Linked DNA regions of Daphnia pulex. The main gene of each other region encodes a partner of the protein of the gene in region 2 in a complex. Links are inferred from orthologs where the notes say so. Each region holds a gene or a part of one and is shown on either strand. Other genes may lie near its edges.

The links.
Region 1: exosome complex component RRP45-like (region 2) and exosome complex component RRP40-like share a complex: the UniProt entries of both Homo sapiens proteins name them as parts of the RNA exosome core complex. The link is inferred for Daphnia pulex from reciprocal best matches to the Homo sapiens genes EXOSC9 and EXOSC3.
Region 3: exosome complex component RRP45-like (region 2) and exosome complex component CSL4-like share a complex: the UniProt entries of both Homo sapiens proteins name them as parts of the RNA exosome core complex. The link is inferred for Daphnia pulex from reciprocal best matches to the Homo sapiens genes EXOSC9 and EXOSC1.
Region 4: exosome complex component RRP45-like (region 2) and exosome complex component RRP4-like share a complex: the UniProt entries of both Homo sapiens proteins name them as parts of the RNA exosome core complex. The link is inferred for Daphnia pulex from reciprocal best matches to the Homo sapiens genes EXOSC9 and EXOSC2.

Annotation. Positions count from the first base shown.
Region 1 is NC_060019.1:5,893,217-5,901,852, forward strand, and holds the start of exosome complex component RRP40-like, read right to left. Parts: upstream 4,923-8,636; 5' UTR 4,837-4,922; intron 4,836-4,836; exon of another isoform or gene 4,774-4,835; 5' UTR 4,693-4,773; exon of another isoform or gene 4,455-4,692; intron 4,381-4,454; exon of another isoform or gene 4,294-4,380; intron 2,219-4,293; exon of another isoform or gene 2,022-2,218; intron 1,953-2,021; exon of another isoform or gene 1,793-1,952; coding exon of another isoform or gene 1,726-1,792; intron 1,590-1,725; coding exon of another isoform or gene 1,453-1,589; intron 1,362-1,452; coding exon of another isoform or gene 1,270-1,361; exon of another isoform or gene 1,138-1,269; coding exon of another isoform or gene 1,137-1,137; intron 1,132-1,136; exon of another isoform or gene 1,102-1,131; coding exon of another isoform or gene 692-1,101; intron 629-691; coding exon of another isoform or gene 321-628; intron 241-320; coding exon of another isoform or gene 87-240; intron 26-86; coding exon of another isoform or gene 1-25. Other genes in the region: bifunctional peptidase and (3S)-lysyl hydroxylase Jmjd7-like, read left to right, coding at 1-25, 87-240, 321-628, 692-1,101; uncharacterized protein LOC124191515, read right to left, coding at 8,370-8,636. UniProt on the Homo sapiens protein: Non-catalytic component of the RNA exosome complex which has 3'->5' exoribonuclease activity and participates in a multitude of cellular RNA processing and degradation events.
Region 2 is NC_060019.1:12,892,869-12,901,352, forward strand, and holds exosome complex component RRP45-like, read left to right. Parts: upstream 1-3,047; 5' UTR 3,048-3,187; coding exon 3,188-3,253; intron 3,254-3,319; coding exon 3,320-3,414; intron 3,415-3,485; coding exon 3,486-3,658; intron 3,659-3,723; coding exon 3,724-3,994; intron 3,995-4,055; coding exon 4,056-4,280; intron 4,281-4,343; coding exon 4,344-4,618; intron 4,619-4,697; coding exon 4,698-4,735; coding exon of another isoform or gene 4,736-4,756; exon of another isoform or gene 4,757-4,811; coding exon 4,812-4,952; 3' UTR 4,953-4,965; coding exon of another isoform or gene 4,966-5,088; 3' UTR 5,089-5,115; intron 5,116-5,164; coding exon of another isoform or gene 5,165-5,413; intron 5,414-5,682; coding exon of another isoform or gene 5,683-5,740; intron 5,741-5,783; 3' UTR 5,784-5,794; coding exon of another isoform or gene 5,795-5,940; 3' UTR 5,941-6,740; downstream 6,741-8,484. Other genes in the region: transmembrane protein 208-like, read left to right, coding at 531-539, 744-902, 973-1,109, 1,174-1,258, 1,317-1,460; protein FAM92A-like, read right to left, coding at 1,548-1,673, 1,737-2,301, 2,367-2,495, 2,563-2,664, 2,747-2,787; histone deacetylase complex subunit SAP30 homolog, read right to left, coding at 4,966-5,088, 5,165-5,413, 5,683-5,740, 5,795-5,940. UniProt on the Homo sapiens protein: Non-catalytic component of the RNA exosome complex which has 3'->5' exoribonuclease activity and participates in a multitude of cellular RNA processing and degradation events.
Region 3 is NC_060026.1:7,114,372-7,121,601, forward strand, and holds exosome complex component CSL4-like, read right to left. Parts: upstream 3,255-7,230; 5' UTR 3,236-3,254; coding exon 3,100-3,235; intron 3,040-3,099; coding exon 2,921-3,039; intron 2,826-2,920; coding exon 2,756-2,825; intron 2,700-2,755; coding exon 2,521-2,699; intron 2,438-2,520; coding exon 2,231-2,437; 3' UTR 2,202-2,230; downstream 1-2,201. Other genes in the region: protein SERAC1-like, read right to left, coding at 1-15, 114-215, 388-506, 614-801, 874-1,141, 1,206-1,322, 1,393-1,517, 1,601-1,926 and 1 more. UniProt on the Homo sapiens protein: Non-catalytic component of the RNA exosome complex which has 3'->5' exoribonuclease activity and participates in a multitude of cellular RNA processing and degradation events.
Region 4 is NC_060023.1:8,700,030-8,707,462, forward strand, and holds exosome complex component RRP4-like, read right to left. Parts: upstream 3,213-7,433; 5' UTR 3,099-3,212; coding exon 2,980-3,098; intron 2,920-2,979; coding exon 2,682-2,919; intron 2,622-2,681; coding exon 2,487-2,621; intron 2,429-2,486; coding exon 2,258-2,428; intron 2,193-2,257; coding exon 2,058-2,192; intron 1,996-2,057; coding exon 1,915-1,995; 3' UTR 1,882-1,914; downstream 1-1,881. Other genes in the region: uncharacterized protein LOC124197887, read left to right, coding at 1-209, 292-431, 503-584, 649-793, 858-1,047, 1,116-1,285; CDP-diacylglycerol--glycerol-3-phosphate 3-phosphatidyltransferase, mitochondrial-like, read left to right, coding at 3,451-3,714, 3,779-4,684, 4,750-4,978, 5,039-5,241. UniProt on the Homo sapiens protein: Non-catalytic component of the RNA exosome complex which has 3'->5' exoribonuclease activity and participates in a multitude of cellular RNA processing and degradation events.

The DNA.
Region 1 (8,636 bases), about 7.0 Mb from region 2:
GAAAAACTCTCCAGTGAAGCTTTTGGTTTGCCTTGTCACTCACTTCTCTCATCAAATCGTTTCTCATGATGATTGAAATAATTTAGAATTTTATCTTACAACGAATGTGCCTTATCTGGAAGAATTGCCCACTTGCTTGGAATTCTATAGAAATTATGTGGCTCAAAATCGGCCAGTGATTATCCGTAATGCTTTCAACAGCTGGCCGGCGTTATCGAAATGGAACATTGAATACTTAAGGTTTTTTCCCCATTCATACTATTGTTATTTATCAACTCTTAAGTCTTATCATAATTTGACATTTTTTTGTTATGTTAAAGGCAGTCTTATGGGACAAAAGATGTCACAGTAACCATCACCCCAAATGGTTATGCTGATGCAGTCACAAATGGACACTTTGTTCTTCCCCTGGAAAACGTGATGCCCATGAACCAGTTTTTGAAATCACTGGAAAACCCTGTCGTAAACAGGGTGCACTATATTCAAACACAGAACTCCAATCTCACCAAAGAGTTTGCAGAATTGATAGCTGACTCTGCAGACGAGATTGAGTGGGCCTCAACATTGTTTGGCACCAAGCCAGATGCAGTCAATTTCTGGATGGGAGATGAGCGGGCAATCACATCGAGTACCATTACTTCCATCAGTCAAAATATCATAAACTAATACAGATCATTTTTCCTATTCACAGTGCACAAGGATCCCTATGAAAACATGTACTGTGTCGTTTCTGGATACAAAGACTTCATTCTCCACCCTCCCACAGACCAGCCATGGATACCTTATGCAAATTATCCCAAAGCTAGTTACCAAGAAATCGACGGAGATTTGAAGATTGTTCCGGATGATGACGGAACCATTCCTTGGATAGATATCGATCCTTTGAAGCCCGACTTGACAAAATATCCCAAGTACAAAAATGCTCGGCAGATTCGATGTCGCGTTGAGAAAGGTGAAATGCTCTACCTGCCCTCGCTTTGGTTCCACCACGTCCGCCAGTCTCACGGCTGCATAGCAGTCAACTACTGGTACGATATGCAATACGACATCAAGTACAATTATTTCGAATTTGTTAAAGACCTGGTCAACTGTGATGCGTGATTTGCCAATAAAATGTCATTGCCTGTTGAACGCAGAGACGATTAAATTCTATGATAGGAATGTATTCTTGATATCTGGAAATCAATGGCACAAGACTAATCAATCCGGCGATGGTGAAACGAACGTAATGCTTTCTTATTAATTATTTATATATAAAAATTCCAAATCCTAGGATGTTGTTGTTTCTTCAGGAGAAGGTGTTGTGGTGGTGGTGGTTTTGAACGACTGAAAAGTGTCCGTGACCATCGGTTCTGTAACGGCTATTTTGGAAAAAATGTTCAGCATTAGAACTCTAAACCAGCATATCTAAAAAAATAGACAAAAACGTTGAAAGTAAAAATGTGTGTATACCTGGACGGAGAGCAGGATCGTTTAGATAGAAGAAAGTCGGCGACAAGGCGCAATCCACTTTGTCAATGTCCTGACATGTTAGCGTGGCTTGGTCAAACAGTAGCCCGGTTCCACACGTAAAAGTATGCGACACCACTCTGTATAATGCAATCGTGTTTTTTTTTTTTTTTTTCGTTTGTTTTAAAATTCTAAGCTCTCAGATATTTGGAAATAAGATATTAATCTTAGACTTGTCAAACGACTAGACACTCTGCTGGGTGTCGGTTACATTACCTGTTCTTTTTCCCAACTCCACAGGTATAGAATCGTCTGCAGCCACTGGACACGTCGGCGTAGAAGCCTCCGCCTCCGCCTTCCTCAAACGAGCACTTTTTGGCCAGAATGACTACATTGATATCCTTGGTCCATCTAATAAGATCACTCGAAAGACCTTACACCCAACTCAATTGTTCAATAATGTTCCTCCCTGGTTAAGAAGAGTAAAAGGAAATGAGCATCAGGTACTACAAAACTCAAAGATTTTAAAGAAAAGAGTAAATCTGACTATGTTGTTTCAAACTTAATTCTAGGTCCTGTTGCCCAAGATGAAATTTGTGCAACGAGAAGATTACCCCTCACTCATCCAACAAAGTGGGGCACGCTGAACTCTAGAATAAAAAAGCTTTACAAATATTTGAATACCAAAACAAAGTCACCCTTCTGGAAACATGCTTAGTGAATTTGTGTTTAAAGCAGTAATAAAAAAAATACATGAATAATAATTTTATTATAAATTGCTTATTATCTGAAATCTGAATGCACATTGTGTAATTAATTAGACTTCCAAGTTGAAAAGGCTCACTTTTGAAACAATAATTGCACTTCACACAGAATTCATGTACAGCAAGGTAACAATAAAGAAAAACGATAAGTCTAATCGAGAGGGGATATTACATGATGTTAGTCGTCGAGCTCGTTGATTTCCAGCTCAACGGAGAAGACGGCTTCCCAACGATATCGTACAGCTTCAATCTAATATGTTCAAAACATTAGTAGGATAAATAAAGGATTAATAATAAGACGGGACAAAACAAAGGAGGGAATCAAAATTTAATCACCAGTTGATCAACCGCCTCTCTAGTAGCCAAAGAAACTGTCCATTCGAGAAAATAATACCGGATCTGTTCCGGTTTGCTTACGATTACTTCGAAGTTTTCCTGAATAAAGAAAACAACCAAATGTAATGCAGGTGAAATAGACAAGATATTGGCCGTCATTTTACCAAAGAGACGAGATTGACAAGTTGCTGAAGGCTGAGAAGCGACCCTCTCCCCCTCCCACCCCACGTTCAAAACTGAACTTGATGGCTCGTCAGCCAACGAGGATCACCACATACTAAAACCATACGATAACTTGTGACCATCAAGGCTGTGTTGCTATAACTGGCCGTTTGCTGGTGATTTTTCTGTTGCTTACTATTGCCCCATTCGACCCGTCAGTTTACACAAAAGAGGAAGACGCGAGAATTGCTATCCGGCATGAATCGGGTACTCGTCCTCGTAGATCCTACACTACACCGTCCGTTTCACCTTCATCCGCAGATCCCGTCAAAACAGTGTCCTGATCTCCTCTGACGGAGTCCAATCAAAGCCAGCCATTGATCCGCCATGAGTACCGTCCTTAACGGCGGAACAGTAAATCCGGATTTCTCAAGAATATCTAAACCGCAGAATATTAGCTAAATAAAAGAACAACACAATAAAAATGATTTACCAGTGAGAAAGTGAGTCACGCGTTCTTGGTTCGTCTTTGATCACGAAGCAAAATGAGGTGAGACCAACTCGTTCCGAACTTCAGAACAACACCTCGGTTACCGATGACGATTAACATGTTAACTAGTTGATTAAGCGGGTAACTTGTTTCCAAACTGAGCCACTTTTCTGGCTGCTCACTGTTAATAGAAGCGAGTCGCATGATTTTATCCACAACCACCTCGACTTCCTTCTTCCGAAGTGTCGGAAGCCTCCTTACCGCTGATGGTGGGTGAAGACGGTTCATTGGATGCTACGATGACGTCACTGCCCGGAAGATTACTCGAGGATGGAGTTGATTCAGACCCAGACACGTCATTATTAGGAACTACAACTGGGCTTTGCTGCTGCTGCTGTTTACGACCTATTAACAAGGCATCAAATAAAACTGTTTGATCTAACACAAGAGAACTGCGTTACCTTTCAAAAGAGGAGAATAAACTGTAGAACATCGCAGCTGGATAGCCGCTCCAATCAAAGGGAATTTTCGGTCGCATTTCATGCAGCTCATATCGTCTCTCAATAATCGATCCTCTCTCTCCGGATTGGCAACTTTTGACGATGACCCAGAGCAGCTAGCGAAAATCTTTTCCAGCTCCTAGAACAAAGGAAAATTAGTAACAAGATTTGACATTTCAACACGTAAATGATAATAAGACATTAAAATCGTCTTGTTCCTTGCGTCGCTACTATTGCGAATTGATTATAGCACAGTTAAAAATCTTGAGAAAGATATGAAGAAAAATATTGTGAGGTTACACACCACTGGTATCACACTGAATGTTTTTTCTTTCGTGTGAATGGTCAAATGTTTTCAGACAGTTTAAGTATTTGTGCGGACATTACGGACGGGCCAGTTTTTCATCAGTGATCTCGTATGTTGACGTAAGTTGGATCGGTCGTAAAAACGTCACATTTAAAGGGCTTCACTCCCTGATGTTGCCAGGATGACGTGAAGTCGCAAATAATCACTGCCTAAAAATGTTTTCACACATGTATCACAATTCACAGGTGCTAGCTTGGTCCCATAGTACATATTCATATGTCATACCAAAACATTCTTGTGATGAAAAGACTTTCAAGCATCTTTACATCCATATTTTCTTTGGTGTGTTGTGTCACTAAGCTCAGGATATTCCTGTAAAGAAAATATAATTATTAATGCTAAACCGTTTAGCATTAATAATTGTGACATTTTATCAAAATTATAACCTTATTGAATGCTTCCAAGTTAAAATCATCATCTCCATTCTCATCTCCGTTGGAGCTCCCTTCAGGGTTATCTTCTGCTGCTTCCTCACTCTCCCTTTTTATGTCATCAAAATTTTCTCTCACCTCAAAGATTGCAGGAGGCTCATTATCATTTTTTACAGCTTGTTTTATCATCTACAATGAAATTGGGATCACTTTTTCTTGCCTGTTTAAAATACACATCAAAATTAAGTCACACCATATCCGAGTCCATCTGCAGTGTCACTTCTTTAAGCACCTGTCTTGCGATATGGACCAGGCTTCCAATCTTTGTTCCAATCTATAAGGTTTTGAATGCAATTTGAGATTTAGTATATCAATACATAATTATATATTCTTCTACCCTAAAAAGAGGAAAGGCTGCTCAAAAAAAAGGAAAAAAAAAGTGTCTTTGATCTTGGCCTTGCTTTTGTTTACAGCTGTCGTCTGCTAAAGCGGCGGTTAAGCACTTGAAGATGACAGTCGTAACGATGGCAACCAAACGCGATGATTACACCAGATAACACGTAGATCATGTTTTGATTGTTTTTTAATTAAAGAACTCGAGGAAGGGAGTTCGCCTTGCACCTTCGTAGAGACCTGACGTGCATTCTCTTCTCTCTCTCAAAGTGCCAGCAGACTCACGTACTCACCGTATATACGCCCCCCGCTTTATTCCGACAGACAAACACGCGCGACCCCCCCCCCCCCCCCCACAGGCCCCCGTGTCAAAGCAATTTCCGCGCCAGGTGCCACCAACAAAATGGCCGACCGTGATGCCCCACCGCGTTCGAAAAGACCGTGCAACTCAACAGACCACCCCCTCCCTGTGATAATCAAACTCATGGATGACCGTCCAAACTTCAAATCAATGTCCTTAGCAGAACGTGAGGCCATGCGAAAAGCCATTTGCACAGCCATTGGGGACCCCCGGGACTCCACGGTACTCCCAGGCGGCGACCTATCCGTCAGCCCTACTGACTTGCAACAACAACAAGTACTACTCAACATCAAGACCCTGGCAGGCAGACCAACATCTAGCACTCTGCCCACCCGGTCAACAGCGAGGAAGGTAGGAGTAATTTTTGGTATCCCGATAAGTGACGCGGAGGAGGAGATTCTGGAAGCTCTAGCAGACCAGCACGTGACACATGTCAAACGGCTCCCGATCCGCAACTCACCAGGCTCCCCCTCGACAACAGTATCACTTACCTTCTTGAAAGAGGTCCCAGACAGGATCAAGATAGCGTCAATCAGCTACCCAGTAAAGGTATCGGTACCAAACCCATACAGATGCAGGAACTGTTGGAGACTCGGCCACACCGCCAACAGGTGCAACGCTAATGGCCCTAACTGCAAAAGATGTGGCAAACAACAACACGAGACACACCAAGAATGCTCAAGAAGGTGTATTAACTGCAACAACGGAGATCATGAAGCAGACAGCGATCAATGCCCTGCATACCAACAAATGAAGAGCATTATTAAAATGGCCTACCTGGAGGAAATCACCATACAAGAAGCTCGATCCCGCCACGCAAATCTGTACAGCTCAGTAACCAATCGAACCCCCACCCCAACCAACCGCCCCGCACCGCCGCCAACCCCAAGGAATGACCTGACAACCCTACAGGACCAAATAAAGGCCATCCAACAAGAGATGTATACCATGACTGCAGCCACCATTCCACAAATCCAAGTAAACATCCAATCGCTGGCGGTCGACCTAGAAGACACAAACAAGAAAATTAGTAAATTCGACCAACGGTTCAGCAGCATTGATAAGCAGCAACAGATCAACATGCAAATACAGCAAAACAGATTTGACAGGCTGGAAGAACTACTAATGGGGAGAGTTACAGACAGGTCCCACTCACCCCCACACGTAACAGCGGACCCACTGAGGACTACTATGAACCCTAAACTGCTACACCACACAAATGAACAGAGCCCCATGTTCAGCACAACCAGCCAATGGCCAGACGACATGGACACAGAAAATGATAAGTAGACACACAGTACACCACTCACGCACTACCCCAAACCCAACAAATAATTTCAAATGCCTCCAGTGGAATGCCAGAGGGCTCACCAAAGCCAAACTAGAAGAATTCCGGCAATTCCTATCCTTAGTTAAACCTGAAATAATCCTCCTCAGCGAAACGCACTGGAAGAAATCTTTCTACGTTAAATTCAAAGCCTACCATATCCTCAAGAAGAACCGCCCTAACAGATCAGGGGGAGGAGTAGCAATTCTAATTAATAAACAACTTTCGTTCACCCCCTTGCCCCTTACCCCACATGACACCGTAGAAGCCATCGGCGTCAGCATCCTATCAAGAAGCAACTCAAAAATCGATTTCATTTCTGCCTATGTTCCCAAAGGCGACTGTGAAATGGCTGACGTAGCGGAAATTTTCAACAGACCCAACCCGGTGGTTATTGGAGGGGACTTCAACGGCCACCACGACATGTGGGAAAGCAACGCAACCACCAACACAGCAGGGAAGACCATCTTCGAAACCATCCTCAACAGCCAAGACATATGCCTCATAACACCTACTGATCTAGGTACAAGGATCGATCCGGCAAGCGGGAAAATATCCACTATCGATCTAACTATGACATCATCTGAACTCGCCACCTCAGCAACGATTTCAATAGGTCCAAGCCTAGGTAGCGACCACCTCCCCATAATCCTCACGCTCAACACGACCCCAGCTCGAATCTCAAGACAACCGCCCAAATGGATCATCAACGAAAACAAGTGGGCAGACTGGAACCACCTCCTAGACACCGCACTCATAGAACTCAAGTTCTCGGAGATCCAGAACCCAGAAGCAGCCACTACAGCTTTCATGACAGGATTGAACGGAGCAAACGAAAAATGCTTCAAAAAATCAAACCCATCACGGGCAAGAAACTCAGAACCATCGCGGCCCTGGTGGAACGCAGAATGCAACACACTAGTGAAGAACGCACGAATTGCACTCAAAAACTGGTGCAAATCACCTACATCGCTACACCTCAGAACGGAATGGAAAAAAGCCGAGGCCCTGAAAAAGAGACACATCATCAAGGCAAAAAAGGAAGCCTGGTCCTCCTTCATCTCGAACCTCGGCCCGCAAGACCAACCCCGCCTCTGGACTTTCACCAAAAGCATGCTAGGAAAAGGATCTAACCTCTCACCAGACGGCCCCCTGATCTCAAACAACAACACAACGATAAACAGCCCGAAGGAAAAGGCCGACCTATTCCTCGACCGATTCAGCAGTGTGTACCCAGCCAATCTACCAACTAACGACCACTTCTACGCCACCATCAACAGCAACATAACATCCACCACCCACAACATCCTGAACGATCCAATCACACCGGAAGAACTCGAGAGATCCCTCCCCAAATCCAAAAGTAAAGCGGTAGGAGCCGACCTAGTCAATAATGCCATGCTCAACAACCTGTCACCGAAAAACAGGACCCATCTACTACACCTATTCAACACCCTATTTTTGAAATCCCATCAGAGCAATAGATACCTGGTCGGTTCTCGGCCGTGTTGGCTTCCCTATCCCGGTTTCAGGGTAAACGTGGTCCGATTTGGAAAAAATGATGAGCGCCTCTAGTGAGTGTGTCAGGTACTACGTGAAGCCAGCCAATCAGGAAGGGTCTATGAAAAACTCATTGACCAATCACAGCTTACTTTTCTACAAGAAGTGAACAAAATAAAAAGGTAGAAGTATCCAACTGTCAAACCTCTAGGTCTTTTCTAAGTGTCCCAACATTCTTACATTTTATTGTTTGGTTGCGTAAATTGTTTATTCTTTGTAAGTGTCCAAACATTCTTACATTTTATTGTTTGGTTGTGTAAATTGTTTATTGTTCCGTTGACATAATACACTACTTCTTGTTTTGAAAGTGTACACTTTTCACATTATAATTTTCATTTGGTAGTTGATCCATCGAAATGCAAAAAATCGTTTGTTTAATTTGATCAAAATACCATGTCCAATTCTTTGGTACCATTGATGAAGTTACTAGTGACTGAAATGTCACAAAATTAGACTTGAAATTAGTAGAGCTTGCTTCCATAGAAGGTGATGTAACTGTCGAATCTTCAATGACAACAGCAACATTTTCGTTCATAACATCAGGAAGTGGATCAAA
Region 2 (8,484 bases):
ATTGCGTTACGTAATATATGGACAGCCCCTTAATACAGATACCATTTCCTGAAACTTCGTGCAGTTCCTTATTTTTCCTTTTGTATTTTTTAAGTTTATTGTTTATTTAAGCAAAAAGGTTGAGCTCTGCTGCCGTGATTGCTTGCGTCAAAAGTAGGAGGGTTCGAATAATTATTTTATATATTGATTGTTGATTGCTGTTGATACATGTAGTAGCAAAAAAGATTTCAGATCTAGAAAACTGGCGCGCGCCCAGCCAGGGATCGTATTTATTAATGTCGCTAGATGGCAGCCTAAGTAATTTTACTCGATAGAGTTTTACAAAGAACCTTTAAAGTTATTATACCGTTTTGTAATGGAGAAGGAAAATTCTTAAAGATCTAAATTCAATTCGAATAAGTTCCTGGTTTGTTATTTCGTATTTTCTCTGTATTTGTGTTAGACTTGCAACATTGTGACGAGTTGGAACTTTGTGTGGTTGCCATAACAACAGCAGAATAGCTTGATTGTCGGCGAATTTTAACTGAAAAATGACAGCTGTAAGAATTTTTTGCTCTACGCTAATACCTATTTATTAACTGTAATAACTAATTAACTTCCGAAAATTTATCTCAGTTCGTTACTCTTGCATGACGTTTACTTTTTCTAGCTTCAAAGAGAGAAAGTGTCGTCGATTATCCCTTCATTGCATCCGTCAATCAAAGTAAAGTAATTTTGTTTTTTTTTTGCTTCCCTTACTTTAGGAAAAGAAGAGCGCAAAACAGGCCACCAAGGGCCAGAAACAGATTGTCGAAGAGAATGTTGCAACACTCAACTTCTACAGAAATATGTCTGTTGTGGCAGTGGGTGTATACTTATTATTCTCTGCCATTTTTTGGTCCACCACCTCTTCATTTGATATTGTATAGTTGATTTTTTTAAATTATTATTTAAAATTTTAATATTTATAGCTCACATTCTTTTGAATTTCAGTTCTTAATATGTCTGAGTTCATTTGCTCAGTTTTGCTGCTATCGCTTTATGGCCTACATGGCTAGAGCCAAATACAGTGAAACAGGACAATTGTTAGATGGTGGAATTGATCTCAACATGGAATCTGGAATATCAGAGTAAGCTTTCAATTGTGATCTGATTCATGAATTTGTATGTCAACACATTTTCTTGTTATTAAAGGCAAATTAAAGATGCCATTATCCTAGTAAGTGCAACCGAGGTTCTGTCTTCCATCTCCAGTTACTTTTGGCTTATCTTGTTGGTGGTAAGTTATTCAGAAATTCATTTCATTATTCTTTATTACTTAAAATTATCTTATTTAGATTCCCTGTCGACTGTTTCACTTGGCTTGGAAACATTTCCTTAGTCCATGGTTTTTCCAGAAAGCCCCAACTGCAGAGCAGGATGCACAGGATGACAAGAAGCAACGCAAATTGGAGCGCCGCATCAAGCGTCAACAGCATTAAAAGAGATACTAAAGATTCCCTGTACTGGCTTTGTATTTAACATACCTTTGAAATAAATCAGACTCTGGACCTCTTTATTTGTAACAGCTATTTGCGCCGGACGTGAGAAGATCGCGGGCGAGGTGATTCTTCTTCGGATTCTTCGTCGTCATCGTCTGAGCCTTCCATTTGTTTTAACTCTTCATATTCCTCCACCTTCAGTGAATCCAGGGACTGTAAAACAAAATCCATATCACAGAACTGATCAACACTCCAAGATTTAGTATGAATAGATACCTCGGCTCGCTGTCTGTAATCAGAGAAAGACTTGGAACGTTTGACCTTGGACGCAGTTTCTGTTGGTGTGTTAGGCAACGCAATTGACGGCACAGATTGGGCTCTGGCAGGACTGGATTCTGGAAGAGGCATATAGGTCCTTAAAGTGTTGCGGAATTCTTCCAAATCTGATTCCACATCGACGTTTTCCAACTGCTGATAGGCTTTTGTAAGAACGGACAACGACGTTGAGTGAAAACTCATTTCGATTAAAGCCAATCGCTTCATCCAGCTAATAAGATCCTTGAGCTTCTTCTTTTCGAGCTTGTCGGCTCGTTCCTCTATAGACTTGCCTAGTCGGACAGATTGTGTTGTGGCGTGTGCTAAATCACTTTCCGCTTTGCTTATTTGCATTCGTCCCAACGGGTTTTGCTGCCGTAACTTGTGAACGTATTTTAATTGACTTATTTCTTTTTCGTACGCAATGCTACAGCTTCGGACGTCCTCCATGGCCGACTTGCAGACGCCCGCGTAACTTGAAATCTCTTGGATGACAGTTTCCTCCAAACGGTTAACGCAAACATCTCTTTTTAAAAATAAAGTCGGTTAATTAATTTGACTAATTTTTTCGTTACGAATTCAAACTCTTACCTGTAATCTGAAATGAAAGAAATGTTATCGGCAAAGTCTTTGATACCTTGACTGCAATTTTTGTTGACATTTTCTGCTGTAGCGTACTCATTTAATGTCTGTGCCAGAAAATCGCCTTTATCCCGCTGACTGAATTTAGATTTCACAGGTTATGTTTATTACGAACACCATCGAATTAAGGTATAATTAAACTAACCCGGCTATTTTTCTAGTGTATAACGCTAGAGCGGTGCAGATCTCACCAAAGTGTTTTTCGATTACTTGAATTCTATTTTGTATGAAGCGCGTTTGGGTTGCACTTCAAGATTTACAAGGGTTGGAAACAAGAAATTATGTACATGTTTAAGATTTTTCTTAAATTACAGCAAAGATAAATTTACCTTGAGTGTGGCAAAGAGCTGGCGCTTGGTGAACGAAACATTGTTTTTTCAGCGTTTATAAGAAAAAATACTATTCTTCCGTGCTTGTTTTGATTTCCATGTTTCCGTAACCGTGGTAACGGATCGTTCCAAATTTTAAACGCTGCTGCTTGGTTTGCTTCAAAATATTGGAAATAATTGTATTATTATAAAATTTAAGTTTTTTTTAATGAAAAATTATCTTTCCTGATATTTAGGAATAGAAGTTAAGATAATCATAAATCTATCTAAATCTAGAGAAAAGATTTCGAGTGGCAACGTTGTCTGTCATTCACGCACGTGGTCTGCTTAAATATTGTTCTTTTTCAGTCGGGCAGAATTATTCGTTCTTTTTATTTCCATCGTCAAATAGTGCTTAATTCTTTTATACACTGGTTTAGTTATCAACTGTTTATATTTAAAATGAAAGAAACACCGCTATCGATTTGTGAGAAACAAACTGTAATCCAAGGCGTCAAAGAAGGACAAGTATTTCTCACAGGTCTAGTTGTTGTTTTTCGAATTTTGTTAACATTGTTTACGATTCATTCTTAGAGAGTTGACGGGCGTAGTCTCTCGGAACAGAGAAAGACTTGTATTACATTCGGAACAGAATGGGGATGCTGCCAGGTCCTTCTTGGAAACACAAGGTATCATGTTTTAGTGTCATTTTTCAGTACTTGTTTCTAACGTGTTTTATCCTTAATGAATCTTTTGTCAGGGTGATGGCGCAAGTTTCTTGCAGTGTCCAAGTCCCGAAATCATCAAGAGCAAATGAAGGCATGCTGTTTATCAATGTTGAAATGTCTACTATGGCAGCTGAACATTTTGAAGCTGGCAGATTAGGACAACAAGGCATTGAAGTCAATAGGCTAGTTGAAAGGTGCATTAAAGGTAATGTACATACATTGCCACTCATACATCAATGGCCCTTATTACATTAACTATTTTAAAAACAGATTCCCGCTGCATTGATTTGGAGAGCCTGTGCATTTTGGTTGAGGAACAAGCTTGGGAAGTGAGAGTTGATATACATGTACTGAATCATGAAGGAAATCTGATTGATGCTGCCACTTTGGCTGCTCTAGGCGCTCTTTGTCACTTTAAAAGACCGGATGTAACTCTCGATGGTCGGGATGTTATCATCCATCAGCTAGATGAACGGGATCCAGTTCCACTCACTATCCTACATCATCCTTTAACTCTTTCCTTTGCTCTCTTTAACCAAGGGTAACTAGATCGCTATATTTTGTTTTCCCTTTGGAAAATGTATTTATAACTTTCCCCATAGGAGAATTTGCGTCTTGGACCCAACAAATTTAGAAGAACGTTCTGCCGATGGAAAACTTGTGATGGGTTTAAATGCATACCGAGAACTTTGCACATTACAGATATCTGGCGATGGGGTGTTTATCCATAAAGAAGCAGTTATATCGTGTGCGAATGTGGCAGCATCAAGAGCTGTTCAAATGGTTGAAATGTTAAAAAAATCTCTGGCTGACGATGCCGCCGAAAGGTATTCAGCCTAATTCTTCGGCACCCGAAAGTGAATAACATTCTCTTTTTGCAATATTTGTAGAGCCAAAGGAAAGTACAGTGGGTTAGTTGCTAGCGTAGCGCTGGAAACAGAAAGAATCACCACTCAGTCACAGGCCGAAGTGTATTTCAAGGCGTCACATCATAAGGCTGAAGTATCGAAAAAAGAACCTTCGGCAATCACGAAGACGAAACTTGTAAACGATCAAGGAGTTGTTACATTAGAAACCTCTTGCGATACGTCCAGCAGCGAAAGTGAGATGGAAGTTGAACCACTCCCACCTGTGGCAGTAAAAAAGAGGGTCTACGAAGAAATAGGTAAAAACATTGGTTTCGTCCTGTATCTCGTCTATCGGCATTCAAATCTAATTTTCTCACCGTTTCCTTAATTACATAGATGTTGGAAATGATAGTGAAGAGGAGCCTGTCATGTTGGTAACCAGCGAACTTACATAAAATGACTATGATGCACCGATTAAACCTTTCGTTCGAATGTATTTGAATTTACAAGGTTAAATTAATAATTAAAACATGCCAAGGAGAAAACAACAGACGCACGCATATTTTTGAGTTCCATCCTTTCGCTAGTTCATCATTTCGAAGACAAACGTGCTTTAACGTGATTTGCACTGGGGGAGGGGTTGAAGCATAGACAGACCACGGTTTTACAAGTTGTCATTGTTTGGTTTCAGATCGAGTTTGTTTTTATTAGATTTGACGGTGTAAAGGAATGAGTGGAGGGCTTCCTTCTCCACCACGGGAATAGTCCGGAAATGGCGCATCAAGGTCTATCATTTCAATCACGAGGATTATTGGTAAGTAATTAATAATAATAATAGTAGGTTAACTAGGCAATATCTGTACCTCTGCAAGTTGTGCTTTATTGAGGCCTGGTCGAGTGGGCACTTTGTAATGTCGCTTGTAACGCCTTAGCGTATTGATTTGAAGTTGGAAGAGATCAACTTCTGGAGCATCACGTTCTCTTTCTTGCAGACTGAGCGTGTCTCGATCTGTTTCGTTGGAGTCGTCTTCAGAATCTTTCCTCTTGCGCTGCCGGACTCGAACAGACTGAATTAAGCTCTTGTGGTAATCACAAATATAGATGTGTCTGGCCTATAATTAAGAATAATAATGCACAAGTTAAATAATACTTCATGAATCTTGAATAAAACTGACAAGGGAACATCCACAGTGGTTGTGCCTTTATTGGTCTTCCAAAAGCGGAGGGAATGCTCAGGATTTCCAACACTTTTAAAAGTCCAGGGCAATTTGTGACCAAGTGAAAGCCTAATGCAAAAGACAGGTAATTTCTACTTGGACACGAAGGACCCTTGAATAGGGGGTTTTCTTGTCCCTACTGAAACTTTGTGTGAATAACTTACAGAGGAGTCCATGTGTAGCCGTAGTTTCCTTTGTTGTACAGTCTTTTGAATCCGTTTACTAATCAAACAAATGTTGAAAATAATGTTTCTTGATCAATTAGAGCACACATACCTGTAAGAGGCATTTCCAGCCATTCTAGGACATCTCTCGCCATCGTCAATCATCTGATCAAATTCAATCAGGCAGCAATGTTGATCATGGCTTCGCTTGGAATCACGCGAATCCTCCTCACCCGAACCCGTGCTAAACCCATTCATCTTTGAAATATGCTGAGTGCTCCCTCGCACGATTGATCGAAAGTCACAACAAAGGCAATCTCGAAAGTTACCTTTCACTACAACGTACACAACGAACTGTGGACGCTTTTTCACGAATTGCGTATGTAAGCCAAAACAAACTGTTTACTTGAAATCTCACGATTACCGTACAACCTACTAAGAAAACGGAGGAAATCTCCCCTTAATTCTTCGCAATAATTGACTTTTGTTTAGCTACTTTTCAATGTATCCAATCGAGTTTTTAGGAAAAGTGCAAGCCTACACAAGTCGTTCGTCGTTGAAACACACTTGTTATTCTCCCTCAAGCTACGAAAACGGTATCCAGACGCGCTTGATCGAGAGGGCCGTCATGTCTCCTGAAAATTCTAAACTCCCTTGTTGCTGGTTCTTTTTTATAGAAAATATTTTTACCATGTGGCTTTCACAAATAATTTAAAGTAAAACAAGTTTAACTTGTAAAGTATTTTCAAAATTCAGTTGATTTTCTAAGACGATTGTATGTTAAATAAAACATAAAGAAAAGTTCGAGATATCGCGCCCTCTGCCGTGGGCAACGTGTACTTCATTATCATCACAGAAAATGTTGAATTTCGACTGTTGACCCTGTGCCGAAAAACGTTTGTTAATAAGAGTTGTGTGAACATTTTCCCACTTAAAAGCGACTTATTTCATAGAATGTAATCATCGTATGGCCTACGTGTGGTTTACTTGAGCTGTGGAATGTAAAATTGCAAATGTTCTGTAGTTCTGACTGTTATCAATAACATACAACAACAACATCAACGATTCTTGGAAGATAATCGTCTGCCAGGAATTGAAGTAGGTTTAATAATCTCATCTCTCGTGGGTTTTGTTTTCAATTCTCATCCAGGTTGCTGGTAATGCGAAACAAATATTATAACAACTTCTTTCTTCTCTTTATCGATTCCACCAAGAATTCAAAAAAATGTATTTGAAACAATAAAGAACGTTAGTGACGCAAGATGGCGGGGACAAGCTTTCCTCTTCCAAGATTCTAACCTAAAAAATAAAATAAAAACATTCCTTAATAATTATGAGCTTATCGTGTCAAAGATGGAGTCCTCTGCAATCCTTATTCTAACGAAAAATTTTACATTTTAACATGGCCGACATACAGGGAAAAAAAAATCAAAAAGTGACGTGCTTTCAAATCTAGATTATGAACTGGTCCACAGCAGACCGGCACATTATTTAGAAACGCCACTACGCCAGGCCATTCAAAACAATAAAGGCTTCTCCTTGTTTCTATGTCCCCTAACCCGGCTCTTCCTTTATCGATTTTAGCTCAGCCCAATCGCCATTATAGATACGACTCTTTCAAGTTTCACATAGCATTTTTCTGGAAGGATTGCAAGTGGCGCTACGTTTGGCTGGCCACTGAAGCTTCAACTTTTGTTTATTTTCTTATCAATTTTCAGTTTTCCTTGTTCAAATTCGGCCATATTTTTTAAAAGTACAAGCGCTTTAATCACAATTTCCAAATTCTGATCACTCTCGCGTAAAATGAATGGCTAAAAATAATGTAGAGTTCACGACTAAAAGATAGCGTGTGCGATCGAAAGTTAGGCTTAGTGTTTTCCAGTCTATAGTTGTCCAATAACGTCAATGCGCCCAACCGGTTTTATTCTACATACTTGTACTAAATAACCTTTTTTTCACGAGAAATAAGTCATAATAAACTGAGATTTCAATGCCAAGTTAACTATAATCATGTAGGGCTTCTTAACTAAAAGAATACATATATTAGGTCGGATAGCAGATGTTTTCTTGGGCGATTTCTAACTATACCATCTCCTTGATTCAGGATAGATAGGGCCCGCTTGCATATAGATTTCCCCATCCTATATTTCTGTGTTAACGTTGCGTGTGTGTGTGTGTGTTAACGGTGGGGTATATAAAATCTTGCCTCAAGGTTTCCCCAAAGGTCTACGGTCCAATCAGAACACGGTTAACATCCAACGTTTGGCGGTTGTTGTAAGAAGAAAGCCGATTAGTCCTCCTCCGAGCGGCAGAATTGAAAATTCAAAAAAGAGGATTCTCATTGGCTGTCGTTCCAGCCCAGCCATTGCCATATCCCCCTCAGACCGAGTCTTATACGCGTTGTTCGTGGACTTGGTGGGTCTATTTTGTGTGTATCGAGATCTGTACTGTACTCACGGCTTAAAGGTATGTTTGGAAATTTCATTTATTCTTATTTATCTCTCGATTTTCCTTTGCTTAAGTATTTTGTAATGTGAAATGTTTTGTTGCCTACACATTTTTGCAATTGTTTTCAATATTTTTTCACAGTCTGGCTATCGTTTTTGTCTAGAAAAACGTATTTAGTAAATCGGGTTTGTCTCCTGTGTCTGGCTATGGCCATGGCCGCCAAGAGAAGCGCATTGCTATTTTCCCTCTCATTTTCCAGTTATTTCGATGAAAATCGATGGCCAGTCTACAATCTAGAATAGCGAACTTTACATCCGACCGAAATGTTTCTCGTTTTTTCGTCTTGCACTCTTG
Region 3 (7,230 bases), on a different chromosome or scaffold from region 2:
GAATTGATTGCACTCCTATTGTAATAAATGATTTATAACAGGTTAAGATTTCTACTTTGTCTCAAAGCAACCAATACAAATCCCCCTTATTCCGATTTTTATGCTTCCATTACCTACGTGCATCATCCGGACATCGACTCTTCCAGTGTGACAGAGAAGTCGCATAATCGACACCTAGAATTCGGAGATCAGGAATGTCAGCCGGTAACCAGTCCCTGTAAAATAATAAATTCCCATTGAAATTAGTAAATAAATAAAGATTATAAGGGTGTAGCGGGTCAACACAACCTCCTCTTTTATGGTTAATCTTAACGACTCGCACATGAGTAATCATAAACTTTACCTAGTGAGCCAGCATGACATCATAGCTTATTATTATTATTATACCTTGGCCAGCATTCGCTATAGTCGCTATTCATGCCGAGTAGTTCACTCTGCCGCCAAGTCCATCCCACCCCTCCAAGAAGTCCATGAACGAAAATAACATCCATGCTCCATTTTTTTGCCTGTCGAGTGTCGATGCGATATATGAATGAAATATTAACAAGTAATGTAAAGAAAATTAGTAAACATTTATGAGACTAGCAAAACATAGCGTAATTTGACCAACTACATTTTGTCTAACGCAAGGTTTCTTGCTTTCATCCTTATCCTCGTACAACGGATGCAGCAGGTAAACTGATCTATCATATACTCCACATTTGCGGCTATTTTGGTCCATATTAGCTAGAGCTTTTCCAGCAGCTAAATTTAGAGAAGCATGTTGAGGACCAAAAAATTCTGCTAAAAGGCCAATCCAACCTGTTTAATTTTTTAGGTTAAGTTAATTTTTTACGTAAAATTTATTACGTTTTAAATTCTTATACAGTATACCTGATTGAAAAATCTGATGATGGAGCTGAGAGAATAAAGAGATGTTCACAATTATATTAACACACAATGCTTTGAGCGCTGCTTCCTTGTTGAACATATGCACGACTCGCCAGAGCGCGACAAGAAGTCCATTTTGCACCATTAAAATTGAGGATTCGAATGAACGAGACAGTTCCAATAAAGCTTGTAAGTACAGCTCTACGATTTGAACAATGTTTCCCGGATGTATAATTCTAGCAGTATCAGGATCCCATCTAAGATTGAATTCCTGGAATAACAAATGAATCATATTATACAAGTTTCATCAACTACTACATAAATGAAATACTTACTTCATCTTTGTCTTTTTCAGTAATTTTTTGAGCAATGCTAAGAAAATATGTAGCACAAGTGTGTTGATTGGAGGTAGGAATTTTGTCAAGAATGTGGTTTAACACATCTTCTATGGGCTATAATAGAGGATATAGGATTGTTTAAAAGACACATCATTTATAAGCTTTTAAATATATAATTTAAAACCTCAGAGGTTGAAATTATGTAAGCAGGGGGTTGTAGGAACAAGTTTAGGTTAACATTTTTTGTTCTTGCCAGTTTGACACTAACCCTGAAATCACATGCTTGGGCAATTTGCTGGGATAATCCAACTATATTATATAAAGAATAATCAGCAGTTATTTTACACTTTATAACCATAACCATAATCTGTAAATAATATATTTGAAGATACCATTATAATGTGAAGTAGCCAATGTTTTTAAAGCAGTGGAGTGTTCTTGAGTATGAGAAGGGAGTTCTGATTTAAGAATTCGAAGAAGATGCCAGGGATTTGAATCAAGACCAAGATGTGTTGGTCCCTTCATAAGAGTCTCCACCATTTGTTCAACATTTTTCAGTTTAGAGGTCATAGCATGAATCTCAGTTTCAATTACAGTTTGAGGAATAGCAATATAGCACCCAGCCTTTTGACGTTCTCTCTCAACTGCGGCATCTGACAATAAAGATGAAAACCGGCGGTTTAAAGAATGAATTTGGTATGCCAGAGTAGTTCCTCCTCTTCATAAAAAAGAAAAGATACATTGTAGTTTTCTATATGCTGATTACAAGAACTCGCTAGGAATTGAAATACCCAATTATAAAAATGACAGCTAGAGATTTCGGCAAATTTTTCCATTTCACTTGGCGATGTTTCCTCATTTTATTTACATGCTTGAAAAAACTATAAGAATATAAATTATGATTAGAAAAAAGGAACTTGGAGAAAATGAAATGAATTGAACAGAAACGCAAGCAGTCGACAAAACACCAATAAAATAAAATCCGAAAAGCTTTGTTGTCAAATTTCATGTATTAATATAATCTAGACGCCTGTTGCATTTTCGTTTGAAATTGTTTCTGGCGAAACTTTTGCAACTTTTCTCAATTCTTTAACATAAGTTTTTGGGCACTGCATTTCTTGCCATCCTACTGGAACCATAGGAGTACCTTCTTCACTGTATGCTATAACAACACCCAATTCATTTTCTGCTGTTGACAAAACATAGGAATGTGCATCACCTAATGAGAGCTAACAGCAACATGAAAAAAAATTTCATCTTAGAAGTCATACTCACTTTACAGTTGAAATAATGATCAAAATCAAATAATTACCACTCTTGCTAAAATAATGTCATTGGGACGAAAACATTTGTACATTTCAACCCTGTCCTTTTCTGTAGCACGCACATCTTCTTTCCTCAGCTGTCCTCTAAAGGGTTCTGCCAATACAATGTCCTTAACACACAAAATGGCACATCGTGCCCAGCGAGGATTTATTTGTGTTACTCTGGCTATTTAAAGGTTTAAGATGAAATTCACAAAATTCAACACATAATTTAAACAGTACCTGTAACCACATCACCAGCAGATGGAACAACTGTCTGTTCTTTACCACTTCTAACCTCTATCAGGATTCTCTAGGAAGAAAAGTTTGAACATAATATTCGGAAGTTCATTATTTCACACCAAATGAATTGTTTCACTGATCTAATTTCACTGTTTAACCACTAACCTTATCAGGTTGTGAAGTTACTTTAACAACACCTGCTAAACATGATGTGATATAACCTTGTCTTGTGTAAGTTCCGGCTCCTCCAATATATTGGTTATCCGACAGACATATGCGTTGTCCTGAAAAATGCAAACATTTTATCAAAATGACAACTAAAAAAATATGTTTTTTAATATTACCGGGAGTGCATATTACACATTTGTCTGATTCTTTATTCGTCATTTTTTTCGCACACCAGAACAACTTCGAAGTTAGAAAAAAACGTCGACTGCTGGGCGGCTCACGGGTGGGGTTCGTTAAGTGTGCACACAGCATGAACTACTCTAATTAAGGACGGTATATTCTTCGGCGTTTCCTATGTCGGCCATGTAAATTTTTTTGTGGGAGAATCAGAATCAGAATTTAAAAATTATCATAGAATTACCATATGTTCCTATAGGGCTCTTCGGGATCTGTTTTATTTAGCCGATTTATCTGGCAACGCAGCATGGTTCGAGACTTTTTTAGGGCTAGAACGGGGAGAAGAGGGAGGATGGGAGGAATGGGAGGGAGGAGGGTGTCCTCCCATTCTCCCTCTTCTCCCCGTTCTCGCCCTAAAAAAGTCTCGAACCATGCTGCGTTGCCAGATAAATCGGCTAAATAAAACAGATCCCGAAGAGCCCTATACCTAACATTTATTTTTATAGAGATATTTCCAATTCCTTAACGAAAAATTTGAAATAGGGCAAAACACCAGTGCCATCTAGGAACCAAACCTCCTAAGCTCTTGTTAGTTTGCAAGCAGATGCCCATGCATGCATACCGAGAGAAAGAAAAAACCACTCTCTTATCTAGTCCTCTGACATAGCTGCCTAACTATATTTTACCTTGTAGCGTATATTCTTAAGAGCTTAGGGTGTTTGGTTGCTAGATGGCACCGGTGTTTTATCCTTTTACCCCTACTTCTGAAAGTAAATTTATAATATCTTAATGATTAGTTTATTTCACTAAGATTTATATCTATAGTTGGAATCAGCAAAAAAAACTGAATTTAATGATATTTTTTATTAATGTTTTCATGAAAATACCCCACCCGACTAGCTTTAACAAGGCAGGATAGGCGAAGAATCCCGTCCTTAATTAGAGTAGTCCATGCACACAGTCAATCTCCCAATAGACGTTGCCAAAAGTCACGTGATGCCACATTTTACCCAATAAGATGATGCCTTGAGTACTCTCGACCATGCCTACTCTCGACATGGTACGGAAAGTGTGTTTAACAAAGCCAGGGGTATGGAAAGACCCCCATACCTTTCTCTCCATACCCCTGACAAAGCTGCCATGTCCCAGCAAATTGCGTGAAATCTATTGCCATGCCGGTCCGACAGGGCAATAGCCATAGAGAGCTATTGCCCTGTCAGTGCTAAAACCGCCACCTGGCGACGGCTATTGGTAGCCTTTCTGAACCAAGAACAATCTTAATGGTAAAACTTTTAGGTTTGGTTTGGGTTTTTAAAATAAGATGCATAGGGTAAAATTACAAACAAATTTTATGACAAAAATTTTATTTTTTCGAAAAACACATGTCACGATATGATGTCAGCTACCTGCGTTATTAGCAAGGTATCCGAAGGGATGTTTATGATTTTTTTTTCATAAAAATCAATCAAATAGCATATGAGAAAGATGAACTTCAAAAGAAAAAAAATTGTAGCGTTTTTGAATCCATATGAATACTATGTAGAATTAACGACTAGGAAAGTTATAATTTAATATGGAACGTTTAATATTGTAAAGTTATCCCAGAAAATTTTTCATTTAATTTGTTTTCTTATGATTATAAACCTTAATCTGGAATAAGTTAACACGAAAATAATTTCTCGTTTTTTTTTATTTTACTATGTTTGGATCCAACAAAACTAGAGTTAAATTAAAGTAAGCTATTGTATATTAATTATGGATATTTTATAAAATTTCGTATCATTATGGATGAATAGTTTTAAAACTCGTTTATAGTAAGACATTTTTGAAAAACGCAACGCATTTGTTGGGTTTTTACCTGGTTTATTTACAACAACAAAGTGAGTCACCCTTAGTCTCCCCCCTTGACCTTGTTCAGTTGGTTGGTTGAAGGTTGAGCCGGAGTTCTCAGAAGTCAGAATGGGGTGCGAGGGGTTGTTAACGACCTTGAATAAACATCAACCAGCAACGTGACTCACCCTATCGACCTTTTCTGCAGATTGATTCCCACGTAACGTGTGAATCAAACAAGAAATACATAGGCTACGAAAGATTTGAACTACTTAACCGACGGGACTCCCGTTCTTCCGTCTCCCGTTTTATGCAGAACTGGCTGCGCATGGTTCATCGTTCACCCTCTTACGTCTGAGAGAATTAACGGAAATTCAATAGTCTAAAAAAAAAAAAATCATGAACACAGGAAATATTGCCGTCCTGCTACTTTAAAAAAATAAAACTGGTTCACGCCTGTTGCACTGAATCGTTCCACTTTGAATGCTTTTCTTCCCCCGGGTCGATTATTTTTTAAGCACTTCAATCACCGCATATTAATTAACAAAATAACATTAAGTTATATTTTTTAAACAAGACGGATAGTTCACTGAATTTTAATGATCGATCTGATTCCGTGACATTGAAATCTTTCATCTTTCTACCTATGTATTCCTGCGCCAATTATATTTTTTAGTTTATAGAGTTTCGTTTATACAGTTTTAATTAGTGTCCTGCCTTCGAATTTTACACAAGAGTGTGTTTACCGTCACTCGTGTACTATCTCTCTCAATTGATTTTTATGATACAAGAACCACCGAAAATGTTTTTTGCTTGTGTAAAAGATCACCCTCTCAATCACTGATTTGTGATTTGTGATTTTTATGTTTGATCCACTGATTAGTTTTCAGATTTCCGCGATGATTTCTTTTCACATTAAAGTGCACCGTGTCTTGTATAGCGTTTTAACTAGCACGTCCCTTTAACCTTTATTATGCCTTTTTAATTGAATGATTACTTTTTTGCACTTATTTGCACTGAACGAGATGAAACAAAACGCTTACTGTTATTACGGTTATCTAACCTGAGAATTCAGTAACAATCGTAGGTATAAGAATCATCATATCCATTATAGTTTGTGATGGGGACATAAATTATTCCACATACATGATAACACTCACATGATTCGTGAGTCGTGAACGATACAATTTAAGAAGGTGTAATAGGCCTTGACTAAAGAAAAAATGCAAAATGCAACATACGTAAAGTAAAATGCAATAGCCGTCGCTAGATGGGGTTATTAACACTGACAGGGCAATAGCCATAGAGGGCTATTGCCCTGTCGGACCGGCATGGCAATAGGTCCGACCTCCACCAGAAAATGTGTTTACACGGGTAAAAAAAATTCAAATCACTATTTAAACATGTTCTACATACACAGTAATGTAAAATAGCCGTCGCTAGATGGGGTTTTAGCAACCAGTTTTTAACGCTGATTCTCATAGTATTATTATTTTATTTTTAAAATTATAATCCCCCCGTAATCTCTCTTCAAAGATGAGATAAGCTCCCCCCACTTTAAAACGGACCCCACACCATTTTTGGTGGGCGATCTTTAAATGTGATCAATTTGCAGACGACCTTCACCCAAATAACCCTTTTCGTGCTGCCTATGGCTACCTACAACCCTCTTTTGCCTCTAGGGCGTAAAGGCGAAATGCGGAAAGGCTGATTTGGATTTGAATGATGGTCGTCTGAAAATTGATCACATTTAAAGGACCGCCTAGCGAACATGGCGGGGGTCTGTATTGTTCTGCGAGGGGCTTATCTCAACTTTGAAGAGAGATTACGGTAGAAAAATATAATAAAAAAAAAAATAAAAAAAAATGCGAGAATCAGCGTAAAAAACTGATTCGAATGATTATGATCTCCACCCGATCCCTTATTCATGCAAAGACCCTTTTCGATGGATAGGGAAGTTGTTTAGAAAATATTCATAAATTATGAAAATATTTTATTTTTATCTACCATTTGATGATGCATCTTTTGGTAAAAAACTTTTATATTCAAAGTGTTGTTTTCTAATTTTTTAAATGACCGATTTTAACACTGTGCTTATGGCGGGGAAAAGTGGGTGTACTTAATTGGTAAACGAGGATGTAGAGACGTGGGGTTAAATCTGATCAAATTTGTAGATCGTCTTTTCTCCATCTCTAGCCCTTCAAAAGTTGTTCGAGTTGCAATGAGACACGTAGCGCAACAAGAATGTACTCGCAAAACGAAGGGGAGGGGTGTTTTAAATTCGTTTGATACTGTAAGTA
Region 4 (7,433 bases), on a different chromosome or scaffold from region 2:
ATCGACGTCCAGAATAGCGACAGCTTCCGGTTGGACTTGACCATGAACGGCGGTGACTGTAACACCCAATCCATGTCGGGCATGTTCACCAACACCATCGTCCTCCAGCACCACAGCGTCGTCATGACTAAAGGAGACAAGATTTACAAGATTAAATGCACCTACGACATGTCGCCGCGCAACGTTTCCTTCGGCATGATGCCCATCAGGTATAACAACATCATAACCACTTCATTCCCTCTCCATCCGATCCTTATCTAATCTCTTTTTAATTAATTTTTGGGAAAACAGAGATCCGGACATGATCAGCATCACTTCCGCACCGGCTGCCCCACCTCCACGCATCCGCATTTTGGATCCCACCGGTGGCGATGTCGAGACTGTTCGTATCGGAGATCGACTCATTTTCCGCATTGAAATTCCCGGCAACAGTATGAAACGGAATTATCATTTTAATATTGCAACATGAAAATAACATCATTGTTCTTTTTTAAAAACTCAGCACCATACGGCATTTTCGCTCGCAGCTGCCTTGCCATGGCCAAAGACTCCAGAAGTACCTTCCAGATCATCGACGACGACGGGTAAGAATTAAATCTTGAATTAAATTGCTTAACAAAATCTAATAATTATTCATTTACTTAATAGTTGTCCAACTGATCCATCCATCTTCCCTCGCTTCGTTCCGGACGGAACTGCTCTGCAGAGCACCTACGAAGCTTTCCGCTTCACCGAGAGCTACGGTGTCATCTTTCAGTGCAACGTGCGATACTGTCTAGGACCTTGCGAACCGGTACGATCGTATACGCCCTATTTCAATTCAAATAATGTAATAACGAACCATTGATGGATTGCAGGCTAATTGCCAATGGGGAAGAGACACGATGGAATCCTGGGGACGTAAGCGCCGTAGCGCCGAGAAAGTTGAAAAAACCGAAGAGGACATGACCATGTCTCACGAAATCCTCGTTCTTGACTTTGGAGATGAAGATACGAAATTCAGCCACCGACAGACTGCCACCTTGCCGGCCAATTTCCCCAACAACAGTAAGATAGGCGGGAAATTTGAATCGGTCACGATAGGAATGAAATTCTAATTGATTTAAAAAATGTAGGTACTTACACAGTCCATGAAGAGACGGTGACCGTATTCAACAGCACTTGCCCAACAAAGACGTCCGTCCTGGCGTTGGCCGTCACATGCGCTCTTCTCTTATTACTGTACATCTGCACCGTGTTCTACTTCCTCATGCGCCGCTGGTTGGGACCCGACAAGAGCGTCTAAGATTACAAACCCATCTAATCAAGGTGGAATCCTAATATCTAAAAACACGGGACATTTTCCAATCGTGAAGCCCTCCTAAACATAATCGTTATCCATTCGTCGTCACGGAATTTCGCTAGATATTCATTGTTTCTATTTATCATTATTTTTTTTTTTTGTTAATTATTATTTGCTTGATTTGTTAAAGCAGCGCTTTAACATGACTTCCGGTTAAATCTTTTTTTTTTCCTTCCTTGGTGGACCTAGGGAACGGGGTCCATTAGTAATTTATTATCCTATATAATCTTTTTAGGTGTTTCAAAACTAGCCCAGGGCATTTTGTTGAGTGGTGCTTACGGCAGATCTTATCCTGGTTTTCTCTAGCACACTTGTTTTAATGTAAATATGATTTGTGGGGGGGATGACTTATAAATGAAGTCTACAAAATTTTAATATTCTTGGGAAACCGGTTGTAGTTGGAAACAAAAAAAAACCGCCTTTATTATCGAATGTTTCTTCGTTTATGTTTTTCCCTGCCCCAGAATAAAACTTTGTCTGCAGTATGAATAAACTGATCCACACCATTAATGTTTGGGAAATCGAATGTCAACTTCTGGTTCAGCCTGAGCCATGTTTATTCGAAAATTAAATTATTCTTTTTCCATTTCGAACTGCTTACGAACCATTAAAGCGATTTCTTTTATCTTGTCCGGTAGGAGAAGATCCTTGATCTACATAAAAGCATTATATAAGTTAGCATTGAATTATTTAGTTTCAATGTAAAAATAATTACCTCAAGCCCAGCATTTACGGAGGCTTCGTAGGCATGCATAATGCTGGTATCATAGATCATCATCTTGCAGTGCGCCAAAGCTGTCACACAATTCCTTAACCGGCTTATAGCTTGTCGATCGGCATGCGGAACTGTCTATAGGTTTCAACAGAATTAGCTTCCACGTGATAATGTACAAACATCGACTTTTTAGTACGCACCTCCAAGTTTTGAACAAATCCACCGGCGCCATCGTCAAGGAGCGTAGGGCAGATCCAAACAAATCCATTGTTACCCATAATGATACTTGCTCCGCAAGGCAAGTTGTGGAAATGAGTCTTCTGTCTTCGGATCAAAGATGGACTAACTTTTATTAGGCAACCTTGGGAAAGCTATAACAGATAAATGGTTGTTATTACAGTTAATATTTTAAATAACTTATTGTTATACTTTTCCATATTTCATGCTGCGGGTGTGTAAAGAAAGAGCTCCATCATTGAAGATGTTTTGAACCTCTGCACTGACCAAATCTCCTTCTTTCAGGTATTGCCTCATGGCTAATTCATCTTCTGCTGATCTTCTTCTCTAAAAGCATTATGAGATATAAATATTTGTGTAATTGCACAAATAAAAAGTCTTTCTTACGAGTTCACCACCAGGCAAATTGACTGACTGAAGAAGAAGCACTGAATCTAATCTTGCATTGGTGTCCAGTTTCCAACGTTTCTGTGAAACCTCAGTAACCCTACCAATTACGACATCTCCAATCTCCCCATGATAACGAGATTTCAAGGGTCTAACTGAAATAAGTTGGTTGACTCTCTCCACAACTCCAGCAACACTGGAGTACAAACAGTCATCTTGCATGTATGTTCCATGACCCCTTAGCAAAACATAAAATAAGATTATCATCAAGAAAATGGCAAAACTTTTAACAATCTACCTCATGAATCCTGTTTCCTTTGTGATCAAAGAGCCAGGTGTGACAAGATGTTTGGGTTCAGTAGAATCAGCGACGATATGAAAAGGAGGCACTTCAGAAGCAAGGCGAATGTCTACCATTCTTTTGGTTTTAATTATCCTAATGTATCAAGTTCAAAAAAAAGGAAACAACAGCACACTTGAAAATGACAATAATTCATCGTGTTCTGCTATACCATGCTGCTACGTTGCCTAAGCTATGGCGATATCAAAATATTTAAGAATATAAATATTTGTGGATATTCTTGTCAAAATGATATTGTGCAATTTAAATCGACTAATTAACTTATGTTCGAAATGGAAAATATAAAGTCAACTGAAATTTTTTTAACGAATCAAATAAAACATTGCGCGAATCACATTAGTATTAATTTTTGCCATCAGATGTCTGTTTGTTTATATGCCGATTCATTTCATTCGTCCGTACAAGTAAATGTCACTAATTTGCCAAAAAGCAATACTTTTTTCAACAACGATATGCGTTGCTGGGCGACAACGAGTATCTTGGCACTTCCTTCCCAAGACTGCTCGCAGAGGTTGGCAACGTAACCTTGTCTCGAGATCACTTCATCTCCAGCATCGTCCCGAAATGGAACCCGACAGTGATGAACAGCAGAGAACGGAACTGTTAACGACCCTTGAAAATTTCAGATGGCTCGGAAGTAAAACCCCTTGTTTCCCTGTGAACGGAAATAAGGTTAGTGTTCTAATAAGGTATTTTATTAGTGTCTTCTAGTAATAGTTGTAAAATTTTTTCTTAGGTTCGAGTTTTGTCTGATCCTGAAGATTTCTACAAAACACTTATTGAAAAGACTAGTCAAGCAAGTCAAAGAGTCACTTTTGCATCCTTATATCTTGGAACAGGAAATCATGAAAATGAGCTTGTAAAAACAATTGAAAGTACTTTGAAGAAAAACTCTGGCTCCAGCCTGAAAGTTCGAATTCTGTTGGATGCAACAAGAGGCTCTAGAGGTGCCCAATTCAATTCCCGTACAATGCTGCTTCCCTTAGTTCAGTCCTACAGCCAGCAGTGTTCAGTCCATTTTTATCACACTCCAGCACTTAGAGGATTATTAAAGAAAATTCTCCCAGAAAGATGGAATGAAATTATTGGCTTGCAACATATGAAGATTTACATATTTGACGATTCCTTATTAATCAGTGGCGCAAATTTAAGCCACGATTACTTCACAAATCGGCAAGATCGATACATAATTATGGAAGATTGCAAAGATTTAGTGGATTTCTTTGACCAACTAGTAGAAACTGTGTGCCAGTTTTCATTTCATTTAAGTGAAAACAACTGCCTTAACTTGAATTCCGCTTTTCCTCACCATCCGTTTGAATCCAATCGGCTTGAATTTACAGAAGAAGCAAAACGGAGAATCAACAACTTGTTTGAAAAGCAAATAAAAGCAAATGTTTCGTCCTCGATATTTCAATGGCCGAATCCGTCTGCTTACGACACCTGGATCTTCCCTTTCGTCCAGATGGGGCAGCTAAACATTTACATGGATAACATCTTGACGCGCGAGATTCTAGAAAACGTACCGGCAAACGCCGAATTATGTCTAGCAACCGGGTACTTCAACCTGACTCAGGACTATATGGATAGTTTGCTAGAAGCGTCCCAGCCAAATGTTCACATTCTCATGGCACATCCTCTGGTAAGCCCCTATCACCATTCAAACAAACGTTCTCCCATTTAATTTGATTGATTTATTCCCAATAGGCCAATGGTTTTTTCGGGGCGAAAGGATTCGCAGGTGGAATCCCATCAGGTTATACTCTACTGGCTTACCAATTTTATCGACGAGTGGTTGATCGAGCGCTGGAAGCTCGCATTCGATTGTGGGAATATCAACGACAGAATTGGACTTTCCATGCAAAGGGCTTGTGGATCTCTTTTAATCGAGGAGATCCTCGACCCTCTTTCACTCTAGTAGGATCTCCTAACTTTGGTAACATGTTTTCGTATTTTTGTCAAAAATTCAAACGACTGACACTTTTTTGGCCCGTAGGATATCGTTCTGTTTATCGAGACTTGGAAGCGCAATTGGCAGTAGTGACCATCAATCCTACCCTACGGGATCAGCTTCATCGAGAACGGAGAAATCTCTTTCAGCAAGGCGACCTGGTCAACGGTACGACTTTTGATCACCCGGATAGAAAGATACCCTTGTGGGTTCGCTTCGTCATCAAAGTTTTTCGGAGATTCTTCTAGTAAACAAACAAACAACAGCAAAGTAATCTTAAGACGTTGTTGTTGTTGCACTCCCGGTGATCCGATCCATTTGTTTGTTTTTGACCTCCGTGAATAACGATGGAGTGAGAAATAGAAATGCAATTCTCTTTACATAATCGTGAGTTGCATGTTTACTACTTTGACGAACCTAAATTCAAGAATTTTATTGCTCGTATCTTTTAGTGAAAGTAAAAGAAAAAAAAAAACAATTTGACGGTTGCATTCATCGTATTTACTATCGTATTTACATTAAACTAAATGATTTTAAATAATGAAAGGCATAACCCAGCGTTATTTCTAACCCTATAGCGTTTTTCGTGAATTGGTGCCGACCGACAGTTCCGTACGACTTTGAAGGTCAAAAGCTGAAAGAACCATGAACGAAATGTATCTCTTTTGAAAAGAAACAGTCATCTCAGCATTTATTGACGGACAACAAGAGTTTTTAATGTTAACATCTATTTTACCGTTATGTCAGCGAAAGTAAAAGATAGCACGAGCAATAGTAGCTGGTAATCGATAGTCCGAAGACTTGGGGTCCAACGATAAAATTATGGCAGTCCAATACTCCAATATTTACTTTAACTCTTACTACTAACAGCTTAATTAAAAAAGAGTGAGAGTTCCGCTTGCAACTCCAACTCCAATGTTATGGAGTAGGATCATGTACCCAAATATTCGTTGAATAGTTTATATCTAGCTCATATTACATTGTGATTAAGAGTTGCTTACCCGACATGTATTTGTTTTCAATCTTAGCCCATAAACAGAAATGAAACATGCATATCTGGGTTTTCTCATCTCTCCCGTGTAATGGAGTAGAGTAGAAATCCTGACGTGTTTATTGCAACGGTAAAGATTTCGATTAGAGAACTGCTGAAATTTAATTAATTAAAAGTTAACTGTGCGGTAACAGATTGAAGCCAGATCTAGTTGTATACGAGCAAACTTCACCCTGTTACAGTTATTTAATGTCCCAGTTCGGACGGCTACGGATATTCAATTCGAACAACTGTAGTGCTTTTAATAGAACTGGAGGATATACGGCTCGAACACGCAACCTGACACGTGACAGCATTGTATTCTGCCGCGCTCCCAACTGCGCTACTGCGAGGCGATACCCTGAGCGAAGTAGCGAAGACAGGAGATATGTTTCGAAAAATAAAAAATACATTTTTTGAAAAAAAAACCTTGGTGAACATAAATAAATCTAAATGTATATGTTTTCATTTTTAATGTTAATACATTTCTTGCGATAGCGTTCAGTGCTCCCGTGGAAGGGAGCGTTAAGTTCACGGAAACCGATAACCCGTATAATAAACAACTGTAATTAAAGAAAAAATTGGAAGAAAATTACCAACAGGTCTAAGAATTTCTGGAAAAATGTCTGTATTCATCACCAATTGTAATTCCCAAAAAAAAAATGCATTGGCTTCACGATAGTACATGAATTGTTCACGACACAACGAAAATAAGCTACAAATGCTACGTCCATAGATTTTTAAACGTCAATTTGCAAATTATATTACATTCGTTGGGTAATTAACAAACAGAGGTTAGGGTGGGCGGTGCAAGCCTCCTTCCACTCACTCGTTCTGAAAATTATTCTTGCGTGGGCCGCGATGAATTTAATAGAAGCTTCCTTGATTTTCTCGATCGAGTTCAGGTGGGCCCAGATAAGCAGGCCGAGAGCGTCGGTCGTCTCCATTTGGGAGAGAAGAAAAGTGGCGCAATATTCTTTCAGGTCGTCGATGTTGTACTTGTCAGCAGCCATAAACATCAGCTGGGCAGTCTTCTGATTCAGGGGGGCTGAAGTCCGGCCGGAGTAGATGTAGTGAAGCAGGTCATTGAAAATGTTTAGCTTGATGTCTTTTATCACGACTTTTCCCGTCTTCTTCTCCTGCATGTCGTGCTGGAACATGGCGGCAAAAACGGGACTTCTGGCTGCCAGGATGGAAGCGTGACCGCCAACTTTTATTCGACTTCCTTTGAAACAGAACTGAACATCGCAGTTTGATTGCTGAACAAACAGGTTCGTCATATGTTTGATGACATTCATTTCACCGTGATCGGTACTGTCAAACTTCATCCAGAACACGAAAGTCAACGGAACCGATAAGCTGTCGTAACTAGAATCGCAGTCGACAAAGAATGTTTCTGACCATTCCAAA